Linked DNA regions of Zea mays. The main gene of each other region encodes a partner of the protein of the gene in region 2 in a complex. Links are inferred from orthologs where the notes say so. Each region holds a gene or a part of one and is shown on either strand. Other genes may lie near its edges.

The links.
Region 1: tic22 (region 2) and Protein TIC 20-v, chloroplastic share a complex: the UniProt entries of both Arabidopsis thaliana proteins name them as parts of the tic complex. The link is inferred for Zea mays from reciprocal best matches to the Arabidopsis thaliana genes Tic22-IV and Tic20-V.
Region 3: tic22 (region 2) and Protein TIC 55, chloroplastic-like share a complex: the UniProt entries of both Arabidopsis thaliana proteins name them as parts of the tic complex. The link is inferred for Zea mays from reciprocal best matches to the Arabidopsis thaliana genes Tic22-IV and TIC55-II.

The regions. Positions count from the first base shown.
Region 1 is NC_050100.1:212,573,199-212,577,507, reverse strand, and holds Protein TIC 20-v, chloroplastic, read right to left. Parts: upstream 2,315-4,309; 5' UTR 2,185-2,314; coding exon 1,540-2,184; 3' UTR 1,148-1,539; downstream 1-1,147. Other genes in the region: uncharacterized protein LOC100279738, read left to right, coding at 103-141, 263-440, 541-676, 758-884, 1,007-1,084; solute carrier family 35 member F2, read right to left, coding at 3,351-3,356, 3,617-3,682. UniProt on the Arabidopsis thaliana protein: May be involved in protein precursor import into chloroplasts. Not redundant with TIC20-I, TIC20-II or TIC20-IV.
Region 2 is NC_050104.1:9,248,144-9,253,650, reverse strand, and holds the start of tic22, read right to left. Parts: upstream 3,261-5,507; 5' UTR 3,107-3,260; coding exon 2,705-3,106; intron 2,619-2,704; coding exon 2,556-2,618; intron 1,303-2,555; coding exon 1,228-1,302; intron 113-1,227; coding exon 68-112; intron 1-67. UniProt on the Arabidopsis thaliana protein: Involved in protein precursor import into chloroplasts. Imported into the intermembrane space via the Toc translocon. May be involved in the import pathway used by proteins without a cleavable N-terminal pre-sequence.
Region 3 is NC_050100.1:221,690,632-221,695,745, reverse strand, and holds Protein TIC 55, chloroplastic-like, read right to left. Parts: upstream 3,092-5,114; 5' UTR 3,091-3,091; coding exon 2,696-3,090; intron 2,586-2,695; coding exon 2,483-2,585; intron 2,390-2,482; coding exon 1,271-2,389; 3' UTR 1,148-1,270; downstream 1-1,147. Other genes in the region: uncharacterized protein LOC100191588 precursor, read left to right, coding at 153-390, 482-774. UniProt on the Arabidopsis thaliana protein: Involved in protein precursor import into chloroplasts. Part of the redox regulon consisting of TIC32, TIC 55 and TIC62.

The DNA of each region.
Region 1 (4,309 bases), on a different chromosome or scaffold from region 2:
AGTACTGCACAATAATCATGCACATATTTTACTATATAACACAAAAAAAAGGGCTGCATTTGGATTTTAACTCACTTGTCCACTATTTTTTCCCCTTGCTAGGCAAAAGTTTACTACAGATCATGCTGGAAAAACACAGAGGTAATTCCACACGCGCGTGCACACACACATACCAAAGAAAAAAGGAATGCCACATGGAAGCATGGAGCCCATGATATATCAATGATAACAAATTTCTTTGTTCTTTTTCATGGTCTCGCAGAATATCATCCAAGGAGGAGGATTAGCACCTTCCACGAAAGATGAGAACAAAGAACAGTATGATTCCAAGCAAACTACGGTGGCATCGTCTGCTCTCTTTGACACACAAAGTGCTAGAGAAACTAGTGCAAACGATATTTCCTCCCAAAAGGCAACAAGCAAAGCAAAATGCAGGGCAGGTAAGTTCCCAATTTCCTTCTTTCGTTGCATTACCACCTTTCAATTGCTAAGATCATGGCAAGAAATTGATTTACTAAGGCTAATAGCTTTAAAATGCAGACAACAGCGTACCTGGCAAACAGCCACCATGGTTGAGCATGTCAACCTCTGATGCAGACAACAAAACACTGAGCAAGAACGAGAAACAAACTCTCCAAGAGGATACTCAAAGTCTTTCTGATGCTTACTCTCAAGGGTTTGTTCCGAAACTACTGTTGTTTATGATGGTAATTTTGCTATATCTGCAACTAACAAGAGAAAACATTATTTACATCAGGCTTCTAAATAGATTGACACAAGCTCTAAAAAGGTCGGGAGTAGACCCATCTCAAGCTAGTATATCTGTAGAGATCAGTATGGACAGAAGAGCAACAGAACCTAATAATATACATGACAATTTGAAGGTAATAACAGCACATGAAAGTATATCAGCACGTTAATGCTTGCAAAGTTGCTAGACTTATGTCATGGCTTATTCACAGAATCAGCCATTTCTTTACCACTTCTTTTTAACCTTACCTGACAGGATCATGAATGTGAAGATATTATACATGTGACCAAGAAGCTTCGGGGCGAGAGAAGCAAGATCTCCAGCTCAAACTGAAATTCAAACTGTGGCGACAAGCCGACAACAGACCAGGACTTTGTCGACGAAATTGACAATTGATGGAATGCTCTTATTTATATTGAAATCACAATTACTGACCTAAGCCTCCATTCAGGTACAAAGGAAGCTGCTCAGGGGAGGGTAGTCATAAAGCTCCCCAATTCAGACATTCCTCCTCATTTGTAAATGCAATTCAGATTGTAAAACAGTGTACATGTACTGCTCTCTCAAAATTTGTCAATTCAACAAATATGGTAGTATTGCAACGTTTTTGTATCAACCTTCCACAGTACATGCATTCAATCGGCAACTAGACCTATATAAACAGCAAGGCAATTGTAAATTATACTAAGCTTGTGATTTGCTGCAAGCGCCAACGAACCATTGGGATGTTTTCTGCATATCATCAGATTCCCTTTCCATCAACATGGTCCGCAGGAAACGAATTGTAGTCACATCACCTGGCGCTCCGCTGCATCTGCGACAATGGGCAGACGTGGTGTCTTCCCGAGCAGGCAGGCGCCACCGCCGTACACCAAGGAGACGAGCAGGAAGAGGAAGACCGTGCTCTCCATGCTCTGGAAGATCTCGAACCCAACCCCACCGGAGGGCGCGAACGACTGCGCGAGCAGGTCGGGAAAGATGAGCAGCACGTCGAGCACGACGGCCTGCATCGCGTTGAAGCGGACGAAGCGGGAGAACGCCTGCTGGTTCCGCACAACGGCGAAGTAGAGCGTGAGGAAGAGGAGGAAGGGCGTGAGCGGCGATGAGTGGAAGAGCCGAGCCGCGGGGGCCAGCGGGCGGAGCAGCGCGCCGAAGAAGGGGAACTGCGTGAGAAGGAAGCGCCCGTGGTGCGCGCCGTCGAGGAACGGGTATAGGTAGGCGACCGCGGCCACGAGGCGGTCGGGCGCCTCCACGGCCCCGCTGTTGTCGTTTTTGTTGGAGGCGCGCGGCGCGGGGGCCAGGAGCCGACGAGGGGTCGCGTTGTTGGGGGCGGCGAGGAGGACCCGCCGGTGCGGGATGCTGAGGAGGCGGGATGTGCCGTCGCGGTGGAGCAGGCGCGGGGGCGAGAGGAGAAGCGAAACGGCGGATGCCATGTGATCCTCTGCTCGGTGCGGTCGAGGAGTGGAGATTTTTTGGGTGAGTGGCCTTGTGGGGGGCGGCCAAAGCGAGGCGTTTGGGTGAGGGGTTGAGGGCAAGGCAGTGGCGCCGCGCGGCTGCTGGCTGCTTGCCCCCTCCGCGCGGGTGGGAGCCTGGGAGCGGAGATTTTTGTGGAGCTCCGGGGGATGTGGGTAGCCGAGTGGGAGACGAGGAGATTGGTTGGTGGTGCCTGCTTCTGCCTGCCTGCCTGCTTGGTGCAGTGCCAGTGCGGGCCGTGCTGCTGCGGCGTCGCGGGGGAGGAAGGACGGGCGCGTGGGCGACGCGCGGTGAGCCTCACGTGGGCCGCCATGCCGGCCGGCATGCGCTCGCGCCTTGCAGCGTGGCCCGCTGTGGCCCGCCACGGAAAAAATTGGGATTCATCGTTTTGAGAGGATTCGTCTGAATATCATTATAAAACATGTCATCCACGTTATGATATCATTTGATCGTTTAATAAATCGGAAAAGAAATATATATATTATATATATAGCGACATTGAGGGTCAATTTTATAGGGAGACGAACATCAGCGACCAAAGTGAATGCACGAACAACAACAGAGGCAAATCATCCCTCAATGTCTATAATATATTTATTATTTTCATTTTTTAAACAATCAAATGATATTATAGCATATGCGGCATGTTTCATAATAGCAAAGTAGTGATGCCTCTCAAAACGATTTCCACTCCGGGAGAGCTGACCCGGGCGGAATAACCACTCCTACATTTTCCTCATAAAAAAGGACACTCAGTCTATTTGGTTCACGGCTAACTATGTCACAATTTATTTAATATTAATCGTTTGAATTGAAGAACTAAGCTTAGACATAAAAAATAGATAAAACGGTTAACTATGTCATAATTTGTTTAATGTTAATTATTTGAATCGAAGAACTAAGCTTAGACATAAAAAATAGATAAAATATGGTAAGTTGGACAGCAAATCAAACCGCCGTCAAACTTCCACCCTATTTCTTTGCATAACTGCGGCGTCAAAATACTCAGCAAGATACTCACCACCAGGTTACAACGACAGATTGACAGGATCATCGACACTGACCAAATCGGGTTCATTCGAGGCAGATCGATCACAGAGAGCTTCATCTACACTTTTGAACTTGTTCAGACCTGCCACAAAAGGAAAACACCACACCAGTCCTAGTGATCAAATTATACTTTGCCAAGGCTTCGACACCGTGAATTGGGAAGCTCTCTGAAGGACCATGGCAGAGAGAGGCTTCCCTGACCGATGGAGATCCTGGATCGCCGAGATCCTCTCCACCTCAAGCTCTGGAAATCTCCTCCACGGTTGCCTACTTGCCTCGACCCATGGTTCCCATGCAAGAAAGGCCTGAGGCAGAGCGACCCGATCTCACCACTCACCTTACCAGTTCCTGCCAGTGGAAGATGTCCTTCAGGTTCTCATCAAGAAAAACGGGGAAGTCCGCCACCCACTGTCAAATGACAAAACCGGGGGCCGGTAATCCAATATGCAAATATGATACACTCATTGCCACATATGCTTCCCTCTCTAGTGTCACCTAGCTCCGGATGATCCTTGACACTTTTGCCCAAGCAACAGGTCTTTGCATCAACTACGATGAGAGCACCCTTGTTCCCATTCATGTTGACCCACAACATCAAGCCGGTCAATTCACCTCGATCCTGCAGTGCGGTGCCAAGTTGGAAGGCTTCCCCCAAACTTACTTTGGCCTCCCTCTGTCAAGAGCAAACTAGGATAGCATGCAGAAACTCCTCCCGCGTGATCACCACTATGAGAGAGCATCGGGAATGGTAGGACAACTTGCTTCCGCCTTGATGATTAGATGGATAGTGGTCCGATCACAGACAGCTTCCCCTCCCTTGCAAGCCATGCAACGAATATGGAAACCACTGTCAGGCAAGTGCTGCTTGATGGGCTTGGATCAGCACCTCAAACCACGCCTGAGCACAACCTCAAAGACAGGAGCTTGCCACCCTCCAGAACACCCTCCACGACATCTCTCTCACACAACAAAATGATAAAAGACTAAGCCCACTGATTGACATAGAAGGGATCCTAAAAACCGGTATGCTCTACA
Region 2 (5,507 bases):
AACTAAAATTGAATGTCAATATGGAAAGTAAAATATATTATTAGAGTGGCCAAATCAGGGACATTACCTGAAAAACAGGAACACCATCAAAAGCAGTTAAGCCCGATTTCATCTGGAAAATAAAAAGGGTAATACATGTCACAAGGATGAAGAAACCTTTTTTCTTCGTACTTGAAGAATAATCAAGGGGGTTGTAATGATCTACATATTCTATATGCAAGACTTAGCTTGTTCTACAGACAACAGTATGTGTTACCTAAACTTAACTAAAGACAAAAGTATGTGTTACTTAAACTTTAGATTTACAAATGTGCACTGTGGAGAATCATTGCAGGTCATTAGGCCAACAAGTCCATCCAGGAAAAAGAACAGAAAGATTCACCACCTACCACTATGGTAAGAACTAACACTTCACATGTTCTATGTCCACATGTCTAGGATTCACGCATTATGGTGAAGGACTGAAGGCATACAAAAAACCAGCAGACACGCTGATAGCGTAGTAGTTGAGAAACCAAAGGGGCGGAGCTCTCAACCAGGGTTCAATCCCTCGTGCTGCATGGTTGTGTGCCCACTTCCCTGGTTGAAACAATGTAGTTCCACGGCTGCCAAATAAGCGTGCGCACATGAGGTATTGAGGTTCCTGCCTGTTCCCAGGTTCGGTGGGCCTCTTTTTAAGACTGAAGTCAAGGGGACGTCTCTCCCCTTGATCAACTCTTTTTTTACATACAATAAGCCACAAATGTACAGACCTTGTGACCAAATTATTGGGATTGCTCAAAGTAACAAAAATCTCTTCAAACATATGTTTTCTTTGAAATGTTGGAACATGTTAAACCAATAGCTATGGGTATGCATTTTGCCAAGTCAAACAATTTATGTAGAGTTTCTGCATGCACTAGAGGAATATTGCTAATACACTAGTAATTAAATGATTGGCCACCGTCAAACCATTGCAAGCCAATGATATCCAAGAAGGTCAATATTATGGCATTTAACTACATGATATGGAGAAATGGACACACATGTTTCATCCCTGTATTTGTAATAAAATAACAAGTAATTATTAAAAAAATCATTGCATTGCTGCTTTCAAGAGCATTTGCAGTCTGACTGATGCATCTCAATTATGCTCACATCATAGAGAGAGGAGGGAGTAGAATATAAATAGGTCCATGTACAAGATAATAGAGCAAAGAGCGGGAAAAAAACTATTAAAGAGCAGACCTCCAGTGCATTCTTTATTTGAAGAGGGTCGGGTAAGAACCTAAATGCGATACCTTCAGCCTTTAACATATAGACCTACATAGAAGAGCAAAGTTATGAGGTATATATGTTTGCATTATAAAACATATAATAGAGTCAAGGTTATTAAAATGGTAAAACGTTGGAACGCTCATGGGTGAATTTTTGACTTTTAAACGTTTAAACTTTGTTTAAACGTAGTTTTAAACAACACAGGAAAAATACCAATACATCATAATTTCAGCAATAATATGAAGTTAAATACTAAAATAGAGAGGTTAGTGGCTTACCAAAACTTCACCCATGAGCTGGATTGAACCTCAAAAGTAACTAATAGAATGAGCCCAAAAATAGCTAATGGTCTAAAATGCATAAAGCACTGCGTTTTACAGTTTAGAACGCCAAAACGCTAAAACGTGGTTTCAATCTCTAATTAGAGTTTTGACGTTTAAACGTAGTTTTTATAACACTGAATAGAGTATCAGTCAGGTTCAAGATAAACACAATGTCTATGCATGCACTAAACAACCAAAGCTGCAGTGGCGTCAACCAAGCTTAATGCATCATGAAAGCATGAACAAGATAAGCTAATAAGCAGTGTTATTAAAACTACGTTTAAACGATGTTTGAACTACGTTTAAACGTCAAAACTCTAATTAGAGGTTGAAACCACGTTTTAGCGTTTTGACGTTCTAAACTGTAAAACGCAGTGTTTTATGCATTTTAGACCATTAGCTACTTTTGGGCCCAGTCTATTAGTTACTTTTGAGGTTCAATCCAGCTCATGGGTGAAGTTTTGGTAAGCCACTAATCTCTATATTTTGGTATTTAACTGCATATTATTGTCTGAAATTATGATGTATTGGTATTTTTCCTGTGTTGTTTAAAACTACGTTTAAACAAAGTTTAAACGTTTAAAAGACAAAATTTGACCCATGAGCGTTCCAACGTTTTACCGTTTTAATAACCTTGCTAATAAGTAATTGGCTACCTAAATCATGACAGCGTACACAATTCCTGGCCAATAAGCCTGATAGAACTAGTTTGAAAAGACTCTTTTCGCTGTGCAATTTAGTTAAAAGTCTTACCTCTCACCTTGCTAATAAGTTAAGATACCTAATTACTGGACTGGCTTTCGTACTTCAAAACGAAACATAAAAACCTTACAGAACCCACAATTCAAAGAAAAAAAATGTTCATCAAGTATTGACATGATCAATGACAAGACATACAGAATCAAACCAACCTGATCAAGTGTAAATACAGAATGAAACCAACCTGATCAAGTGTAAATACAGAATGAAACCAACCTGATCAAGTGTAATAGGCACCACTTTTGCCCCCTTGCCTAGCACCGGTTGCCGCGTCCTCACCTAAACCACACAAACCTCCCGAACAATTAGTGAAAAATCCAAAACCGGAGCCCAAAGCAAACAGGTGGCGAGAGAGCGGGGAATACATGCGACAGGAGGGCGTCGGCGTCCTCCGAACGGAAGCAGAGGAGGCCGAGGGAGCGGAGGCCGGTGGCAGGGTCGGAGACAAGCACGAACTCGTTGCTGGAGTTGCAGACAGTGAAGACGGGAGTGCCGGTAAGAGCGCGCGCGACCTCATCGGGCGCGAGAGAGAGAGATAGGGAGGCGCCCTGGGGGCCCGGCGTGCGCGCAGCCGCGGCAGCGAGGGCGGGGCGCGGGACGTTCAGGTGGGAAGCCAAACGGGAGAGGTGGTGCTGTAGGAAGGAGGCGGTGGCTACGAGCGGGTTTGGAAGCGGCGACGCAGCGAAGGGGAAGGGGGTCGGTTCGGACATGGGCGCAGCGGCGAGGGGAAGGGAGGAGCACGTGGAGATGGAGTCCGGTGGCGCCATCGCGTGGGTTGCGGCGGCGGTGGTGGCGTGGCGTGCGAGGCTCCTTATTGGTCGGCGGCGTCGACGAGAACGGCCTGGCGCGGGGGCGATTCGGTTGAGCCCAACCCCAAGTGCAGAGTTGCGGATTGCGGCCCGCTGAAGCTGATATTCAACTGACGTGTATTGGAGTGATTACGAGAGTATCTAAACAATTTGTTGACGCCTTTTCGGAGCGTCAAACACCTAATAAGAACCGTGGCGGTGCTCTCTAGTCAGGCGCGGACGGTCTGCGGCCTGGGACCGGACGGTTCGTGACCTGGCGCAGGGCTAGGGTCTTCTGCCTGACGGCCGGACGGTCCGCGCCCTGGGGGCGGACGATCCGCGCGTACGCAGGGGCGGCGGAAGTCGCCGGCAGCGACCTGGATCTCGCTCCCGGGAGGGACCCCGTCGGGGAGGAGAGATCCTAGGTGATGTCTAGGCTCGGCAGGCCGACCTAGACTCTTCTAATCAGCGTAGAGTCGAAGAGAAGCGGGAATTTAGAGATCGAGAGGCTAAACCTAAACTAGACTAGAACTACTCTTAGGATAAAATGCGAAATAGAAGTGTTTGATTCGATTGATGATGATTACAAATCGGCCGTATATCTCTCTTTTTATAGAGGGGGGCTGGACCCTTTACACGACTAGATTCCGAGCTAATTCCGCGGATCTAGCTAACAAACATAGCACAAAACTCGGAACCCTAATCTACTCTGCGCATGCGCGGACCGTCCGGCCCACAAGCGCGGACTGTGCGGACCGCGGACTGTCCGGCCTCAGGGCCGGACCGTCCGCGTGCTCATTTTGGTGCCAAACATATGCCCTCCTGCCTTTTGGTGGAGCTAGGCAAACCAAAAGCACCTTAGTCCGATGTGATCACATCGGTTTTCTTAAGCATCTTGCCACATACTAGGATGGTACTGCTTGAGGAAACGCCCATTCAAAGCTTTGGGTAAATCCTTGCCTTGCAATGTTTGTAGTAAATAGGTGTTACCAGATATTACCTGTTTTACTTTATAAGGACCTTCCCAGCTTGGCGACCATTTTCCAAACTTCCGGTCTTTATTCCTTAGAGGCAGGATGGTCTTCCACACCAGGTCCCCTACTTAAAATGACTTTGCTTTGACCTTCTTGTTGTAGGCCCTGGCTACCATGATCTTATCCTTTTCTATTGCTCCCAAAGCTATCACCCTCTTGTCGGTCACCTCATCAATATTATCCATCATTGAATTGTAATAATCAGTGATGGTTAGATCATTTTGTCTGGCGAACCTGACAGCATTCAAACTTATTTCCACAGGCAACACTGCTTCCTGCCCATAGACAAGCTCAAAAGGAGACACTTTAGTAGCACTATGTTTAGATATCATGTGAGCCCATAAAGCTTCGGACAAAATCTTATGTCAATGCTTAGGATTATCCAATATCTTCTTTTTTATCAAGTTAATCAATGTCCTATTACTAGACTCGGCCTGTCCATTGGCCTGAGCATAATATGGAGATGAATTAAGCAATTTAATTCTATATAATTCAGCAAACTCACGTACCTTCTTTGACATAAAAGAAGTCCCTTGATCTGTAGTCAAGGTCTGGGGAATGCCGAATCTATGAATAATATGTTCAGTTATGAACTCAATTACCTCCTTGTGCGTCATGTTCTTCAGAGCAACGGCTTCAGTCCATTTGGTGAAATAATCAGTGGCAACTAACACGAACCGATGCCCCTTTGATGATGAAGGATGAATTTCCCCAATAAAGTCTAATCCCCATCCTCTGAAAGGCCAAGGCTTGATGATAGGATGCAATTCGGCTGCAGGGACCAACTGTAGGTCGCCGAATTTTTGACACACTTGGCAACCCTTGTAGTACTTGAAACAATCAGCTATCATATTAGGCCAATAAAAACCAGACCTTCGCAACAGCCACTTCATCTTTGGAGCCGATTGATGGGTACCACAAATTTCTTCATGTACTTCGGCCATGGCTAATATAGCATCATTTGGGCCCAAGCACTTAAGCAGGACGTCGTTGACTGTTCGGCGGTAGAGTTCATCACTCATCAAAACATACTTGAAAGTTGTACGCCGAATGTTCTTATCTGTCCTAACGTTGGGATTTCGTAAATAATTAGTTATGGGCGTCCTCCAATCTCCTGCATCGGCTTCATTATCAGCCGAATCGATTAGGAGAACTTCCCTGGTAACCCCGGACGGTCCGGCGTCATCATGCGGACGGTCCGCGACCTGGGGATTTGGCTCTGCACTGGTTATCAGATTTTCAGTATTGTGAAATTTCCCTCTCTTTATCCGATAACCTGATGCATCTTGTGCCAAATTGTTAGCTCTATGATTCTCAACTCTAGAGATATGCCGAATACTGAATTC
Region 3 (5,114 bases), on a different chromosome or scaffold from region 2:
CTCTAGATTATTGGGTTGGTTTGATTGTTTTAGATTCCATCTTGGCCATCGTATGACCATGCTTTCCAAAAACTATGTCTATACATTTCCCTTGAATGTAACTATCTTTTTTGTGCTAAATAATGCTGAACTTTGAAGTTTCTGATTTTCAGATCAATGGAAGCTTGTTGCCTGCATCAGTTATTGGTATGTACTGTACATATCTGTGCTACAGTGGACTCTCCAGTGAGCCAAGGGATTACGAATGCAATGGGCTTCACAATCACTCAAAAGCTGTGTCAACTGGTAGCCTTACATTGGGACTCCTTACCACGGTCCTCTCTGTGGTCTATTCTGCTGTCCGCGCTGGCTCCTCTGCAACTGTGCTCTCGCCACCAGACTCACCACGTGGTTAGATTGCGTTCTGTGGCTAATGAGCTAGTTTTGCAAATATTGGGTTTGCATCGTTAATTATGATACCTTTTTCCCTTTTACCTTCCAGGGACCGACAAGCCATTGCTTCCCTTCAGCAAGGCAGACGAACAAGAAGATAAGAAGGATGTGCCGAGGCCGGTGACATACTCCTACTCTTTCTTTCACCTCATCTTCTCCCTGGCCAGCATGTACTCGGCAATGCTCTTGACTGGCTGGTCAACTTCGGTTGGTGAGAGCGGAAAGCTTGTGGATGTTGGGTGGCCATCTGTCTGGGTCAGGATTGCAACCCAGTGGGCGACGGCAGGTCTGTTCATATGGTCGCTTGTTGCACCCGTCCTCTTTCCCGACAGGGAATTCTAAGTTCAACCACGGTAAGCCTGGAGCATCAAACGTGTCTACTGTGGTAGCTAATATATCCTATCAAGTATGTTGCCTTTAAAACATGCTCCGAGTCGGTGTTTGCCCACTGTTATCAAGTTTGTCTACTTAATAACATGTGACTTTAGGCATTGTGCCACTATCTTAACAGTGAACGTGTGCTGCTTGTATTGTGTATATACTGGAGAATTTTAAGAATGCTTCGTGCGAGCGTGTTGTGTATCGATTGCTTGGTGGCTGTGTCTGCGGACTTAAATCTTTTGCTATGTTGATTATCTTCTAATTCTGAGTTTGTGCTGCAGTAGTAAAAAAACTAACCGGTAAGGTAACCAACCTAATCAGTTGCTGCTGACATGCAAAACGTTACTGCAAATATACAAAATACAACAGCCGCAGGCCAGCAGCTACGGTGATACAAATGTACAGAACGTTCCCCGCCGGCCATTACCTAAATATACAGTGGCCAGTACCACATTAATTACAGTCTCCTGTGTGTCCTGATGAAGTTGGTGGTGATCAAAGAAAGCACCGCGTCACACGCATAGGATGCGGCGGCTAGCACGGCCGACGCCGCCACCAAGACGGCCTTCCACTGTCTCGTCGCCGCCAGGATGGCGGCCGATAGGGCCGCCGCCGCGAGGGCCGCGAACACGGTCTTCAACGAGGTGTACTTTTTGACGGTTGCCCTGCAACCCTTGCAGTGCACGACGTGGCGGAAGTACCTGTTGGTCGGGTTGGGCGCGTGCACCATGCCGACGCCGCCCTTGGCCGGGAACGAGGCCGAGATCCCCGCGACGGCCCCTGCGGGCGCCTGCTCCACGACGGCCGGCACGGGCGGCGGCGACAGGGTGCTGTGGCCGAAGTAGTAGGGCATGCCGTGGCCCGCCCTGTCCATCCACTTCCTGTACTCGGCGACCCAGGTGTCGGAGGAGCGGAGGTTGAGGTAGAGCTCCCTGGTGGGCAGCTTCTCCCGGAGCAGCACCTCGTTCTGCGACGACAGGAACCCCATGTCCTGCTCGAACACCTTGCACGCGTTCTGGTGGAAGTACCAGGACGGGAGCACCTTGGCGAGCGGCGACCTGAGGGTGGAGCCGAAGCGCACGAGGAGCATGGACTTGCCCTGCCCGGCGGGGCGGCAGAGGAAGTGCGCGGAGAAGCACTGCTCCCTGCCGTCCTTGTCGGCGAACTCTAGCGTGTTGGTGAGCACGCAGGGGGCCTCGAAGCGCAGAAGGTTGCGGAGGTGCGGCGTGCCGGTGCGGCCCCAGTAGCCCGCGAAGCCGCGGGGCGTGCGCTCGGTGACGTCGAAGAAGAGCGGCTGCGCGTCCTCGCGCTTGGCCGTCCAGTCGGTGCGGTCGTGGGAGATGGGCACGTGCGCGGGGTCCATGAGGTTCTCCAGCAGGATGGAGTGGTCGTAGGGGAGCTCGTGCACCGTCGACAGGTCCGTGAACCCCGCCCGCGCGTACGGCTCGAACCACGGCAGCTTCCCTTCGTCGGGAGGGTTGGCGTCCGACATCCACACCCACACCACGCCCTGCGAGTCGCGCACCTCGTAGTTGCGCGCGCACGCGCTGCGCGGGATCTTGGCGCCCTCGGGCAGCTGCAGTGCAGGCACGGACCCATCACATCACCCATCCATGCTCTCGCCGCGTAGGGTAGGGGCGTCAGTAAGAAAGGTGGGAGAGAGAGAGACCTGTGGTATCTTGACGCACTTGCCGTCGCCGTCGAACTGCCAGCCATGGTAGAGGCACTCCAGCTTGCCGTCCACGATCTGCCCTTCCGATAGCTTCGCTAACCTGATCGATCGGTAAGCATTTTGGGAGCAATTAATCGTGTTTCAGCTGCTGGTTCTCGACCAAACCAATCGTTGCACGCACACAAGAGTGGACCGGCCGGAGGATCTCACCTGTGAGGGCACCGGTCCTCGTGGCAGCGGAGCACGCCGTGGGCGTCGCGCCAGAGCACGAGCTGGCGGTCGAAGACGGTGAGCGGGAGCGCCGCGTCGTCGGGCACCTCCTTGGCCAGGTACAGCGGGTACCACTCCTCCCTCCAGTCGTAGCGCCCCGCCGCCGCGTCCGGGGCCTCCTCCCCCTCCCCCTCCCCCTCCCCCTCCTTGGGCAGCAGCACCCCGGCTTCCTCCACCACCGCCGCCCGGCACCTCCTTCTGCCCCCACCTCCCTCCCACCGTGCCGCCGCCGCAGCCGCGGGGCTCTTAGGACGTCGTCGAGCCACTGGAACAGCGGCAGCGGAGACGCGGAGGAGAGATGCCAGTGGCGCTGGTGCGGTAGAGGGCGTTGTCATGTTCGGTCCCACGACGTTTGGTTGGCCGAGAGCGCTCGATCTCTGCGGCCTCACCGGATAAAAACCTTACGAGTCACCTACGACTACGAGCGCAAGTGTGCAACGCACACGGCAGATGGCGGCTCCAGCTTTCTGCCACCTAGTCTACTACTATAGCGTCCCGGTTCCAGACTCCCACACTTGCCGTGATCTCTCGTGTGTCACTCTCGTCCAAGTGTGACCGATTGACGGACTAGTATATCGCGAGATTTTTTTGCGTGTGCATGAACTAGCTTACACTGGTCAGCTATAATAATATCTCGTTTGGATCTATCCAAATTGTTATTTATTTGCGTAAAATTAGCTTGTCAATTTAAACGTACAAGACTCTCGAGAGCAAGACTCTGTAAATGCTCCTGTACGCTAAATTTAACGTGCGCAATCTGCTTTTCGTTCTCAAGGTCCGCTAAAGGACCCGCTAAAGTAGCGGACCACTAACGCGCACAACAGATGTAGAGTGTTCCGTTGTGTCGGCTATGTGCACCGTCTTGTGTAGAGAGACTACAGGTCGGCTGTGCACGCCGCGACAAAGTAGCACATCAGCCAGCACCTCCCAACTTGCATCCACGGTAGAAGAGGACGACGAGGCGCACGGCGACCGGATGTGCAACAAACACGACCTTGGATGACGTAGGCGCATAGGACCTGTAACTCGATCTTTCTCTCTTCGCACTCCTCCCTTGTTTGTTGCTATGCTTCTCCCCCACCTCGGCGCAGCACAAGTCCATCCTCTGTGTTGCCGGAGATGAGATAGGTGATCCTGGACACGGCGCTCCGTGTGGAGTGCTTCTCAACCCGCATCTAGGGGCATGGGAGATACTGGGTGGATGGATGGAGTACAACGGTGGAGGTGGGGTGTCGGAGAAGAAAGACAATGTTGCAGAGAATGAAATTTAGAGGATGTTGTTGGAGATGATAAAGATATAGAGGATGAAATTTTCTAGAGTGTGTTCTAAAGGATAGAGAATATTCTTTTAGATGGCAAAAATTAGAGCACGTTGTTGGAGGTCATACATAGAGGTGAACTAGGGACCACTAGCCTAGAACTCATGAGAACCGAATAGTAAGGGAGAGCTAGAAGATCATGACGCTTAGTTGATATCTGAGCTTGTATTCTTCTTCACCTATGTGTTCGTCAAACCATCGTACTTAAAGAGGACATATGGTATCATCTTGTGGCCTAGCCCTTTATAAAATGACTATGTGCTACACCTAGGATCAATGCGCCTATAGATTATGCTCCTTGCTCTGTCCATAAACTTTCTTCGTGTCTTTTGGTTGCTTATGGTACTGTAATGTTGTACCATGACGACACTTAGTGCACCAGGTATTGGGTGCTTGCCATCATTGAACTATGTAGTAGTTCTCTAACAGATAATAAGTCTTCTTTTCTCAAGTGTATTACGAGAAATTTGGGCCCACCAGCAAGCCTCATAGGTCTATGGTTGACTTGGGGACCTCTATTAGCGCATGGGGAAGGTCACACTCTAGATGAAGATGCCTTCTAAGGATCTCGATAAAAGTAATCGAGAGCCTGACTAACTCCAGACATGTGCCCCTAGAGACCCACCCTAATGGACCTCATCTTGAGCCCCTGAACCCGTGAGGTTGTCCTAGCCACTCCCGTCCATCATAATTGGCATGACCAGGGCCCCTAAGGCCTCAGGATCTTTCTATACTTTGAGGCATTCCCAAGCTTCTAGAGTTCTCTCGCTCACCTAGGCCCCATAGAGGCCTCCCTAAATATTTCATGACCTCGACCTTAGAGTTATGACTAATAGCCAGGTCCTAGGGTCCTTCATATGAAAAATAATGCTCCGACTCAGTTGTATGGGAGCACCTACAGAACAAAGAATATGGCAGCCTATCCTTAGAGTAGGGAAGTCCTCAAAGGTATAACACTCGTACTATGTTAAAGTCTACTCCAAACGACTTGTGTTACTAATGGTTTGGAAAGGTATCTCGTTCACCACATTAAATGTGTT